Caenorhabditis elegans: one gene and its partners. Each later gene encodes a partner of the first gene's protein in a complex. Each region holds a gene or a part of one and is shown in the gene's direction. Other genes may lie near its edges.

What was found.
Region 2: tost-1 (region 1) and pid-3 share a complex: the UniProt entries of both Caenorhabditis elegans proteins name them as parts of the tost-1 variant of the PETISCO complex.
Region 3: tost-1 (region 1) and tofu-6 share a complex: the UniProt entries of both Caenorhabditis elegans proteins name them as parts of the tost-1 variant of the PETISCO complex.

What each region holds. Positions count from the first base shown.
Region 1 is NC_003281.10:4,876,915-4,880,342, reverse strand, and holds tost-1 (Protein tost-1), read left to right. Parts: upstream 1-2,031; 5' UTR 2,032-2,032; coding exon 2,033-2,171; intron 2,172-2,221; coding exon 2,222-2,331; intron 2,332-2,446; coding exon 2,447-2,626; 3' UTR 2,627-2,817; downstream 2,818-3,428. Other genes in the region: C35D10.1 (ER membrane protein complex subunit 7 homolog), read right to left, coding at 36-269, 492-596; arx-6 (putative actin-related protein 2/3 complex subunit 4), read right to left, coding at 941-1,018, 1,064-1,164, 1,210-1,429, 1,570-1,680. UniProt on the Caenorhabditis elegans protein: Component of the tost-1 variant of the PETISCO complex which plays an essential role in embryogenesis. Within the complex acts as an adapter which binds to the complex via erh-2.
Region 2 is NC_003279.8:2,618,749-2,622,429, forward strand, and holds pid-3 (Protein pid-3), read left to right. Parts: upstream 1-1,901; 5' UTR 1,902-1,910; coding exon 1,911-2,075; intron 2,076-2,122; coding exon 2,123-2,200; intron 2,201-2,246; coding exon 2,247-2,476; intron 2,477-2,535; coding exon 2,536-2,986; 3' UTR 2,987-3,111; downstream 3,112-3,681. Other genes in the region: spe-47 (Major sperm protein), read left to right, coding at 1-458, 1,309-1,443, 1,491-1,601; Y23H5A.2 (t-SNARE coiled-coil homology domain-containing protein), read left to right, coding at 3,209-3,266, 3,570-3,681. UniProt on the Caenorhabditis elegans protein: Component of the pid-1 and tost-1 variants of the PETISCO complexes, which have roles in the biogenesis of a class of 21 nucleotide PIWI-interacting RNAs (piRNAs) that possess a uracil residue at the 5'-end (also called 21U-RNAs) and embryogenesis, respectively.
Region 3 is NC_003280.10:5,419,181-5,423,304, forward strand, and holds tofu-6 (Embryonic developmental protein tofu-6), read left to right. Parts: upstream 1-2,067; 5' UTR 2,068-2,098; coding exon 2,099-2,265; intron 2,266-2,309; coding exon 2,310-2,400; intron 2,401-2,447; coding exon 2,448-2,588; intron 2,589-2,631; coding exon 2,632-2,955; intron 2,956-3,004; coding exon 3,005-3,176; intron 3,177-3,221; coding exon 3,222-3,337; intron 3,338-3,391; coding exon 3,392-3,484; 3' UTR 3,485-3,557; downstream 3,558-4,124. Other genes in the region: EEED8.15 (PHR domain-containing protein), read left to right, coding at 94-642, 691-753, 1,245-1,709; F07F6.7 (Apolipoprotein L, 1), read right to left, coding at 3,663-3,788, 3,836-3,931, 3,980-4,124. UniProt on the Caenorhabditis elegans protein: Component of the pid-1 and tost-1 variants of the PETISCO complexes, which have roles in the biogenesis of a class of 21 nucleotide PIWI-interacting RNAs (piRNAs) that possess a uracil residue at the 5'-end (also called 21U-RNAs) and embryogenesis, respectively.

The sequences.
Region 1 (3,428 bases):
CGAAATTGTTTGATTTGTTCCGAAATTCAATATACCTGAAGAATTGTCAATTTTCTAGCTCTCATCTTTCCTTTTGATGTGATATCAACGCGAATTGGCTCAAAGACAAAATCTGTATTTTCGATTTGAACAATATAGGTTCCAGTAGGCACGAAATCAACACGGAATGTACAATCTTGACGAACAAATCCCATATATTGGCCATGGTTCAAATGAATACGAGCACCTGCGGACCATTTTGCACAATTTCGAGTAGATGGAAGTGCGATCTGAAATTTTTTTTTTGAGGACTATGAAATATTTAATTTACAACGAATTTGTTGTTATTAGAATAGGAACCTAGAAGATAAAATTTTAAAAAATGTGAGAACTGGAAAAAGTATTCAGAAGCATATAAACGTTGTCTTAATTTATAATATGACTTCTCTATGAATATAGCCAAAATGATCGATATTTTTAATCCAAAAATCAAACATTTTTGGTATACGAACCTCGCCTTCGACGGAGAATAATGTCGATGTTTGCTCAGTTCTGCTCACTTCTTCTGTTGCACTGCCGAGCACTATCAGGGAGAATAAAAGTAGAATAGACTTCATTTCTGAAATTGATTTGTCAATTTCCAACTTAATAATCATTTTAAAATATTAAAGCTCGTAAATGTTTCACGAGATATTTCAGATCATACATATTGCAAAAATTGAATAAATAATTCATAAAGTCAGTGTGCGGTAAAAAAAATCGATAATCAAAAAGGCAAAATAGGACCTAAAACAGGAAATTTTTGGGAGGGGAGTCATTTTCAGAAACAAAAAGTGAAAAAATTGAGAATAAAGATGATATTTACACAAATTGATCAAAAAACCGTGTTCACATAATAGTTTAAAGTCTTCGGAATTTGAGTGAAAATGAGAAAAATGAATTGGGAATCATGGGGAGAAAATTAATTGAAACGCTTCAAAAATTCTTCAGCAGAAACACGGGCACGGGCGTTGAGAGACAGCTTCATCTCGGAAATTTCCTGGAAATTTATGGAATTTTTTAAAAATTAACTTAAAATGTTCACCTTATCAATTTCCTGCATAAAATGAAGCAAAAAGTCGACAAGTTTGTGCTTGAACATTGCTTCTGTGTGAGATGCTGTGATGAGGAACGAGATGTCATAACCTAAAATTATCGCTTTAATCTCTGAATATTAGTATTAATTCTGACCTGGCAGTGGCTTGCGACGGAGCACAAAGAAGTTATCGGCTCTTTGGCACATGAATCGAGTGAACTTGTGGCACAGAATCTTCTCGATTTCGTCGGATTGTTTGATGGCGATTGATATTCTGACAGAATTGACGGAGGGTTCGATGAGTACTCGTTCCTGTTTGTTTCGAGCAACAACAACTGGCGTCATGAGCAGTTCTTTCGATGTTTGAACTTCCACCTACAATTTTATTATAATATACAAATAGAATAATACATTTAAATAGTTTTTGAGCGAAAAACTATTGCAATTGGCGGCGGACTGATTTAAATTATTCAATCTTCACACTTTGCAAGTCATTTTACTGTTATAAATCTTACTTCTGGTTTGTTGTGTCTCTCGACCACCTGCGAACTGAATTGCTCAAGACAGAGAGCTGCCTGGAGCGTGTGACGCACGGCCTCCAGATATGGTTGGAGTGTTGCGCTCATTACCTGCAATGCGCATGCTTATTGATTTTTTTATTGACGAAACAGTTTGAGACATTATTTAGAAGTGAAAAAAGATTGCATGGAACAAAATAAAACATGAAATACCGGCGAAAATCGTAAAATTGGAGTCGATAATCCGAAAATGAATCATTATTTGCGTCGTTTTGAAAGTAATGCAAACACGCTCCGCTGCACTTTTTGTTTCGAGTAGCGCGCGAAGACAAATTTATCATCCATTCTTTTAAAAATTGTCAATTTTAAAATTAATTTTCTGATTTTCAATCATTCCACTTTCCCATTTTGCAAAATATTTTGCGTTTTCAGTAAAATTTAAAAATTTAAACCTTTCAGAATGACTACTGCCATCCAATATCAAGTTATTCCTTTAGCTGACCGTGAGCACAGCAACAAAGTGGCGTCGATTCTGGAAAACAAGTACAAAACTGCGACAAATAAACGAATCACATTGAATGAGCGCTTCGGAGTTCTCGGTAAATGTTTTCAAGCATTTTTGAATCATAATAACATAGTTGTCTTCCAGAAAAGGGGTACACTATTCAAGCCACTGAGCCAGAGACTGTCAAAAACGATTCTGATGTCTTCTTTGTCGTTCACGACCGGAACTTGAATTCGAAAAAGGAATTTGTGGAGGTAATTATTTAGACTATTCGAACTTTTAATCAAAGCACTGATATTAACACAACTCTTAATGTTTTCCTTAAAAAATGAAACTTTGAGATTTTATGAGAACCTGGTTATGTTTCAGAACTATCTCGCAAAAAATCCAATTGTCAATTCACCGGAGAAAGTTTTCGAAGAGGAGGACAAGGAGAATGCACCGACCAAGAAAGCTGTTTTGAAGCCGTCCTCTACTGATGAGAAGAAGCTCACCAGCTCGGATATCTACATTCAAGAAATCACCAGAAGCATTCTTCAATCCGTTTAATTTTTCCATAAATTGCAAAATTCATTTTCCAAAATTTATGTATTTTTCTCACAATTTTTGAGCAGCCCTTTTCTTCTTTAAGTGTTATAATTTCCCTCGTTTTCCCACACCCATGAACTTCAGTGCAAATTTTCATAATCTTATCCTACGATTTTCTGTGGTATTCCTTCGATAAGTAAATCGTTCAAAGTAAGTGCTTGTTTGATTTTCGTTTGAGCACGCAATAATTTCAAGATTGGCATAAAAAATAACTGAAATGGGAGCAGAAGTAATGGGAGAACGCTATGCTTCAATGCGGGATTTATTGCGCATTTGGTATTGAAACGAAAAGAGTAACATTTAAGTTCAAAGGACAGAGCATATGTGTGTAGGGGTCTCGCCGCGAGAAAAACATATTAAAAATAATCTTCTGTTAACGTAAGAAGACATTTAAACCAAGTATCTTTAATAAATACGATTCCCGCGGCGAGACCCTTTTGTATAAGCGCGTCTCCCTTGAAACTTGTAGAATTTTGCCAAAAATGCACAATAAGTGAATTTTCCAGTGGAATAGTGTCGGAATACAAAAGTGTTGAAAATCCTGATATGTAAACTACTACTACCGGAGCCGAAGCCGCGAGGAAGTCTACCTGAAAGTGAGAAAGAATCTAAAGATCCTCAGTCAATCCCCGAATGAATAATAACCGATCAAAAGAGCATGTGCTACGATCTGAACATCAGATAAAATTTGAAATTTCCTAGGGAAAAGACTGTTCTGAAATATGTGCATTTTAAGCATTCAACCTCTCAATTGGTAAATCGA
Region 2 (3,681 bases), on another chromosome or scaffold:
TCCACGCGGTCCGCTCCAACTTGTCCGCAGTGCCCGCCACCTGGAAATTCGCGGAGAAGCTTGAAGTTCTGACGTCACTGGTTTCACAGCTGGAGACTGATGGTTTTCTGCGGAACTACGATGCGATGACACCAACGATAACCCAGTTTTCTGAGGATGACTCGCTGCAATACATATTCCCAGTGGAAGAGAATTTGGAAATGAGCACAGCGTGCAGTTTCGTGCCGTCACTTGATATGCAGAGCACCCAGAATCCGTCTCCATCTACTTTGAAAACTATGAAAATCGAGGAAAGCCGGAATTTCCAGACCATGTCGGCGATGACGTTGGCCTGCGGTGGAGCTGCAGCAGATATTGTCACCGTGCCGGCCGACCGGATCACGTTTGCCGCTGGCAAGCTGGAAGAAGTTATTCGAGTCACTAACGTCTCGCAATCGCATATTATGTTCGCTTTGAAGGTGAGGTCTCGGTTTGGCGCGTAAAATTGTATGTATTGTGGTTTTTGTGCAATTCACCGACTTCAATGCATCGGACTTTACGCACAAGTTGGTACTTTGTGATTTTCCAAACATTTTTGCTGAAAAAAAAAATTGAAAATTCGAATTTGCGTGTAAAATTAACTCGCAAATTATTACGATATTATCAAAATATATAAACTGACATGTGAAACGTGGCTTATTTTTTATTTTGTTTTTTATTTAAGCGCCTCCCATTTTTTTAAATGAGCTAATAAATAAAAATTTTAACGAAAGGCCAGGAATGGGAGGAGCTTAAATAAAAAACAAAATAAAAAATAAGCCACGTTTCACATGTCAGTTTATATATTTTGATAATACTTAACACAAAATTCTGAGAATGCTTATGGCGCAACATATTTGACGCGCAATATATCTCGTAGCGAAAACTACAGTAATTCTTTAAACGACTACTGTAGCTCTTGTGTCGATTTAACGGCTCGATTCTAGATAGAAATTTTTAGATAGCTAATTAGATATGGATTTTCGAAATATCGATAGAATATTAAAATTAAGCAAAAAAGTAAATAATTCGAAGAAACGAATTGTTTTCATTTCGAAAACGAAACCCGTATATCGACACAAGTGCTAAAGTAGTCCTTTAAAGAATTACTGTAGTTTTCGCTACAAGATATTTTGCGCGTCAACATTCTAGAAATCTAGAAATTTCTAGATTTCTAGAAAATCTAGAAATTTCTAGAAATTTCTAGACGCATTCTAGAAATTTTGTGCTCCCGTAATATACACAAATTGAATTGTATAATGTAAATTGTTTGAAAACCGATAATTTCAGACAAATGCCGACGCCTACCTCATCGCTGCTCCAACTTCTGGAGTTCTTCTGAGCGGACAAAGCATGACAATCCGTGTTGGAGTCACTGGCAACTACTTCGATGATTTTTCGGATCCTGGAGTTTCCATTGATAAGGTTATTTTATAATTCTATTGAATAAAACTTCAATTTCCGATTTCCAGCTCGCCATCGACTATGCTCTGATCCCCAGCCGTTCCTACTCCAAATTTTCCTCCGAGTTCTTCTATTCCCAGAACCGACGTCGCCTCGCAATTCGTGTGTTCTATCAATGATTTGTCTCTTTTCTCGACTTTATTTTATTTATTTTTGTATTTGTAAAAAGCTTTTATGAGTAAAATTGTGTTTAAATCATGTTTTCCTGGCATTTCTACTTCCATGGGAGATTTCGATCCCTAAAACTGAGGTTTCAAACAAGCTGCAAGTACGCTCTACCGTACGAAGCCATTTTCAAACGCGGGAAATTGTTTCAAAAATTAATTTCGGAGATTTCTTTTTCATTTTTTCTGATTTTCTCGGCCTGTTTCTTCAGTTTTCTTGTAAAATTTACTGTTTAATTAATAAAAATGTACATTTTTCAGAAAATGGTTGCCCATCAGAAGGCGGATTTCAAGTCGAAATGGGCGATGGTCGTGACTGTCAATAACCTGAATGACAAGAAGCGAGCCGATTTGAGAGAATTTTCCGAGTGGTTTATCGAGACTTTGAGATTGGAAGGAGCTTTTATTGGTCACTATTTCAATTATGAGGTTATTAAGAGTTAATAATTAATTAATTATAAATGCAATAATTCCAGGCTGCACCGGTGACCATCGTCGAGACTTTGCCAGGCAATTTTGACTCATGCACTAATGCATATCAGAAGATTCACAAGGTTTTGATGGATAAATTAAATAAAATTCAATTAAATAATTCTTCAGGAGCATCCGCAGGTCGTCCTCGTCGTGCACATTCTTCCACAGTCGCAGTCGAACGAGTACGAGTGGATGAAGGTGTTGGCGTCGAGATACGGATTCGTCCGTCAGGGATTGCTCTACGATAACTGTGCCAATCGTTTCCAAAATGTGGAAACCGATCAGAATAGCGTGTTCCGGAACATGTGCCAATGGATTTATCGTAGCGGCACCGCGATTGTGAGAAATGAGGGAAAGTAAGTCGAATTACATTTTTTTATTTAGCCATTTTTTATTTAATTCCTGTGTGTTTCAGCGCGTGTGGAATTCTCCATGGAAAAGATCCGAAACCGACGTTCGACAAGGTTCTCTTCAACAGCGAAGACATCAAGGATTCCGTTTTCAAAGTTCTTCACGCCGAAGAAGAGCCGAGAGGTGCGGATCAGGAGAACATGCTGAAGATCAGTGGATATCCGGGGATGCTCAACACGTTCGGCATCGCACAACTTCTCACCCCATATCGTGTCAATGGGATCACCATCACCGGCGCCCAGTCGGCCGTCGTTGCCCTGGAGAACAAGTTTCAAGTCTATCAGGCCGTGCAGGATTTCAACGGGAAGAAGCTCGATCGCAATCACAAACTTCAAGTTAGCAGCCTCGTCGTCTCGTCGCCAGCCGTTCCACTCGAGTGGCCATCGCTCAAAAAGTCGAAGAAGCTCGTGGAGCAAGTGGGAAAGCCGATCAGACTTTCGAAAGTCTCCTCTTAAATGTGCCCCAATTTGCTTATAAGTTATTTTTTTCTGATTTCTGATGATCTTTCTTCGATATCTCGACCTTTACCGGTTTTTTTAATCAATTTGCTCATATTCCTTGATAAATAATCTCTCCATTAGCATGTGCGATTTTTTTTTCATTTTAATCTGTTAAAATCGGGGCTCGATTCTTGTTTTCGTTGGAGAGAATTGTTCTTAAAATAAGTAATTTTTTAGATGGAAGAAGGCAGCTCCTCACAGCCATCCGACGACTATGAGCCGAGATATAAAATTTGTAAGATTTTCCAGGTCTCGACACGACAATTTGTGTTCATTACAAATAGGTGTGCGCCTTTAAAAAAGTACTGTAATTCAGAGAAGATTTTCTGCGGAATTTTGATAGATTTTTCAGAGTTTTTCTCTCGATTTGTTGAAATTCAAGTGTTTTATTGTTATACTAGAACATTAAGCATATTTTTACTAAAAAAAAACAAAAAAAATCGAATAAAATTATGTGTCGAGACCGGTGTTCGGCCCAAAACTTCCACAAAAAATAAAATCTCGAAAAAACTCGTGGCGAGACCCAATTTTCTTCCAGCACGACCAAATCAACAAATGCGACTTCCTATAATTCGGCCTAAAATCCCGCCGAAATCCTCAGGCCCACCGGTTCGCCTGATCACCTCCGCCACTCCACAACCGATAGCGCC
Region 3 (4,124 bases), on another chromosome or scaffold:
TGTTTTTTTGGCGATTTTCCTTTGCTCACATAATATACCTATTCTTATTTTCAGACTTGGTACCAATTTCATTCTTCTTCGTCTCCTTAACCAATGTCTTCGCATAGCCGATCATCCAGTGATTCGAGTTTTGAATTTGTGAAGGAAGATGGCGAATCTCAAGTGGCAAAGATGGCATTGAAAATGGAACAGAGGTCGAAGGAAGTTCAAGATGCTTTAGATATCCTTAGCATCAATGGAGATGTTTCTTCTGACGAAGAAGCAGTATCTGTAAAAGAAGAATCTTCTGATGAAGCGGGAGTTAACACTTCCCAAGAAGTTATTCAGAATGATGATACTGAAGAATCTGAAAAATCGGAAACTATATCTCGTGAAGTGTCCAACACCGATGAATTCGGGATTGGAAACAATGTGGGATTTACTGCAAAAGTTGATGATCTTATTGAAAAAATCGCTGAAGCCGTTAAGGATCAACAAATATCAGAGACCACTGAAATTCGTTACAGTGATCCACTTGGGGCATTGGAACCTCTCGTGGGTGAACCCAACGAAATTGAAAAATCAGAACTTTTGTCTGAAATTCGCCAATTACGATCTGAAATCGAAGAGATGAAAGAAACGGAAGTGAAACAAAATTCAACGGTATAGTTTTTTGTAGGGATAAAATTAGTTGAAAATGTTTTTTTCTAGATAAGACTTCTCAAACTGAAGTTCGACGAGATTGACGAAAGGGAGAGACAGAAGGAATTACAGGTAAATTTTTGGAAGGAACTTAAGGCATCCATGGCATCGGTGGCAGGCAGGCGTACATGCCTGCCAACTCTCAATTTTTTACATTTGGAAGTGAACTCCAGTGCAATTTGAATAATGTAGAGCTACTTTGAACCAAAAAACTCCTGAAACTAAATGGATTTTAATTTTCGCAACATATTTTCTGCGCAAATATCTCGTAGCGAAACCTACAGTAACTTTTTCAATTCGAACTAAACTGAAAGATTTGGGGTTACAGTAGTCATTTACATATTACTGTGGATTTCTCTTCGAGATATTTTGAGCGTTAAATATGTTGCGTAATAGGCATTCTCAGTTGGAAATATCTACATAATAATTTAAAAAAATCATAGGCTTTAAACAAAAGATTTTGTGAAAAATCAGTCTCATTTTGGATTACAATTCGGGAGTAGCTTTCCTAAAACTCCTCCCTATCAATATATATTCCATCAAAAATTTGTTTTAATTTCCAGCGTTACACTCCGATTGCAACTGGAATCTGCGGTGCTTGGCGGCTCTCCGAGATCAATAAGTATAATGAAACACTCAAAACCCGTGGAGTATCGTTCCCAAATCGTCTGAAAACTCTTGCTGCTTACACCGTATACAACTTCGATGGTACTTATCTGAAATCTCACAATCAAGTTTTTTGTAAAACGTTTAACAGTGGCTGTTTGAAACTTGGAACTCATGAGATAACCGGTGGAATTGTTGTATCAACCTTCATTTATAGAAATAAAATGATAACAATTTGGAAGAATAAAGATGGAACTTCTTGTGTAAGAAAGGAGAGATACATTAAAGATGGAAAATTGTACAATGTGCACACAAACAATTCCGGCGAAAGGACTATACGCATTTTTGAACGAGTTCAGGGAAAATCAGATATCTTGTACTCAATTGCAAACGTCGGAGGACTCTATCTCAAATTTTGGTGATCACCTGCTTTCTTCAATCCACACAACTTGGTCTCGCAACGAAATATCATCTTAATGATTCTCAAATTCACAGCATTAATTAATTCGCTATTTTATTCAATAATTTTTAATTTTCTCCGTCCATTTGTCTTTCAAAATTTTTTAAAGCAATTTTTAATCATTTTAATCGTTCTCCGTGGGAAATAATGAATCTTTTCGAAATTCTGTGCCTGTAAATAATGATTTCAAGGGTACTGTAGTTTTTTTTAAACAAGTGCGCTCTATTGCACACCGCTGGAATACGCGCGAAAAATGGGAGATTTCATTTTTGCTCGCTTTTTTTGCATTTCAAGCATTTTTTTAAAATTAAAGCAAGAATATTTTCAGTTTCAGAATTACATTTTTTAGAGATGGCTTCCAGCTCGACCGCATATTATCTGAAAGACGCCGGATTCCATATTCGCAATATTCCGAAAGCTTGGAATGATTGGAACTTGTTCCATGTCTTCCAAAACTTTGGAAAAGTCAGTTATTGCCGTGTTGTTGGACAATCCAACGATGGTCAAGTTCAATTGGGGTAAGATAGTGAGACTCTAGAAACGATTCATTTAAAATCTTCAGATTTGTGAACATGATGTCGGTAGCAGATGCTGATGAAGTTCGCAAGAATTTGAACGACGGAAATCTGATCGGCGAAAATTTCACGTTGAAGGTGAGCGTTGCGAATATATAAATTCAAATTAAAACTGTAATTTTAAGGTTACCGATCATAAGAACGTCGGAGGATCTCTTCTCCCAATGGCTTCCAATTCCGTTCAGAAGCTTGTATCATCTCCACCATCGAAAAGCGGACCAGTTCTTCTATCATCATCCTGGCTTCCACTCAACAAGGATATCGAGGTTTCTTACTTTTCCTTCAGCTTATATTAAATTTTCAATTTAGGTCGAAGTTGTCGACTATCTTCCATCCTCATCAGTGGCTCCAGATCTTTTCGCGTTGACTCTTCTCCGCATAAATGATTCGTCAATGAAAGAAAAATATGATTCAATGCACGAGAAAATGAACGCGTATGCTCAAATTGTTCCATTCGATTCGGAGCTCGAAATTGGCTACGATGGAGTCTTCCGTGATGCTCCCCGTTCCGTTCGACGCGTTCGACGCATCTCAGCCACCAAGCTTTATCTCGTTGATTTTGGAAAAATTATCAATTATGAGAAGGCAAAATGCTTCCAATTGCCAAAAGTTTTCCAGTCGATGCCGACAAGGGTAAGAGTTCCATTCAAATGTTTAACATATTTTTTCTATTTATTTTCAGGTTTCCTTGTGTGGACTAGATGGTCTTACCTGGTCACCAGTCGCCATTCCATCATTTGATAATATTCGCGAGGTTGTTAAAAAATGGGGACAAATGGAAAATTCGACGCTTCACGCCATGGCTTGTGGATTTCAAGGCTCTATTAACATGATCAATCTGTTCTGTGGAAAATGTGCGTTTTTTCTTTTGAAAATTCCCCTCATAATAATTTTTACAGCGATTCTTGCTGACCGTCTTCAACGTAAAGGTGTCTGTGAATACTTGCCACGCAGTCAGCAGCCACACTATGCATACTCCCGCGAGACTCTTCTTCAGCACAATAATTCTGGAGTGGTGAGATTTGATGATTTAAAGGGATTTTCAGTTTTAATTTGGCTTTATTTTCAGACTGCTCAAATTTCGAACGATGCTGATGTCGTCAAAGATCTACTCAAGAAGATTGATGGAGTGAAGAACATGCTCCGTGAGCTCGAGCTGTAAATCTGTCCCATTTTTTTTGTCGAAATTACATTGAATCTATGATGTTGTCAAAAAAATGAACATTTTAATTCAGTGTCAGATTTTATAAGAACAACAACAAGAAAAATAACAACGAGAAAACAACAAAAAGAAAAGAAAATCAACAAGAAAAAAATCAAGAAACTTTGAAAAGTGAAAACTAATCGCTGTTCCAGGCGTCGTAATTCAAGAAGTTGGTTACAACATTGTGTCGCATCCTTTCCATCTTGCCGGAAGCTTCACGAATTTTTCCTGCCAATTCAGAGGAAGATCCGTTTTTAAGCGTCTGAAATGAAATTAATATTATATTTTGATAACATTGTTCGCGGTTACATTAGCGCTCATGGCCAGGGTAACACCGTCCAGAACGATTCCGATGGCTGCAACGCTCTGCAGCATTCCTTTCATAAGTGCATTCGTGAGATGGCCCTAAAAACGAAGGTAAAAATTTAAATTTCAAAAAAACAACTATTCTACCATGGAAGATGCGGCCATTTTAATTCCGAATCCTGTGATTCCGGCGAGAGAAACACCAAAAAGTGTTTTCAAATGAGACTGGACATCGTCGAAGTTTTTGAAAATCTTTGACGATTGCTTGTCCTCCACAAATCTCCTCACTTCG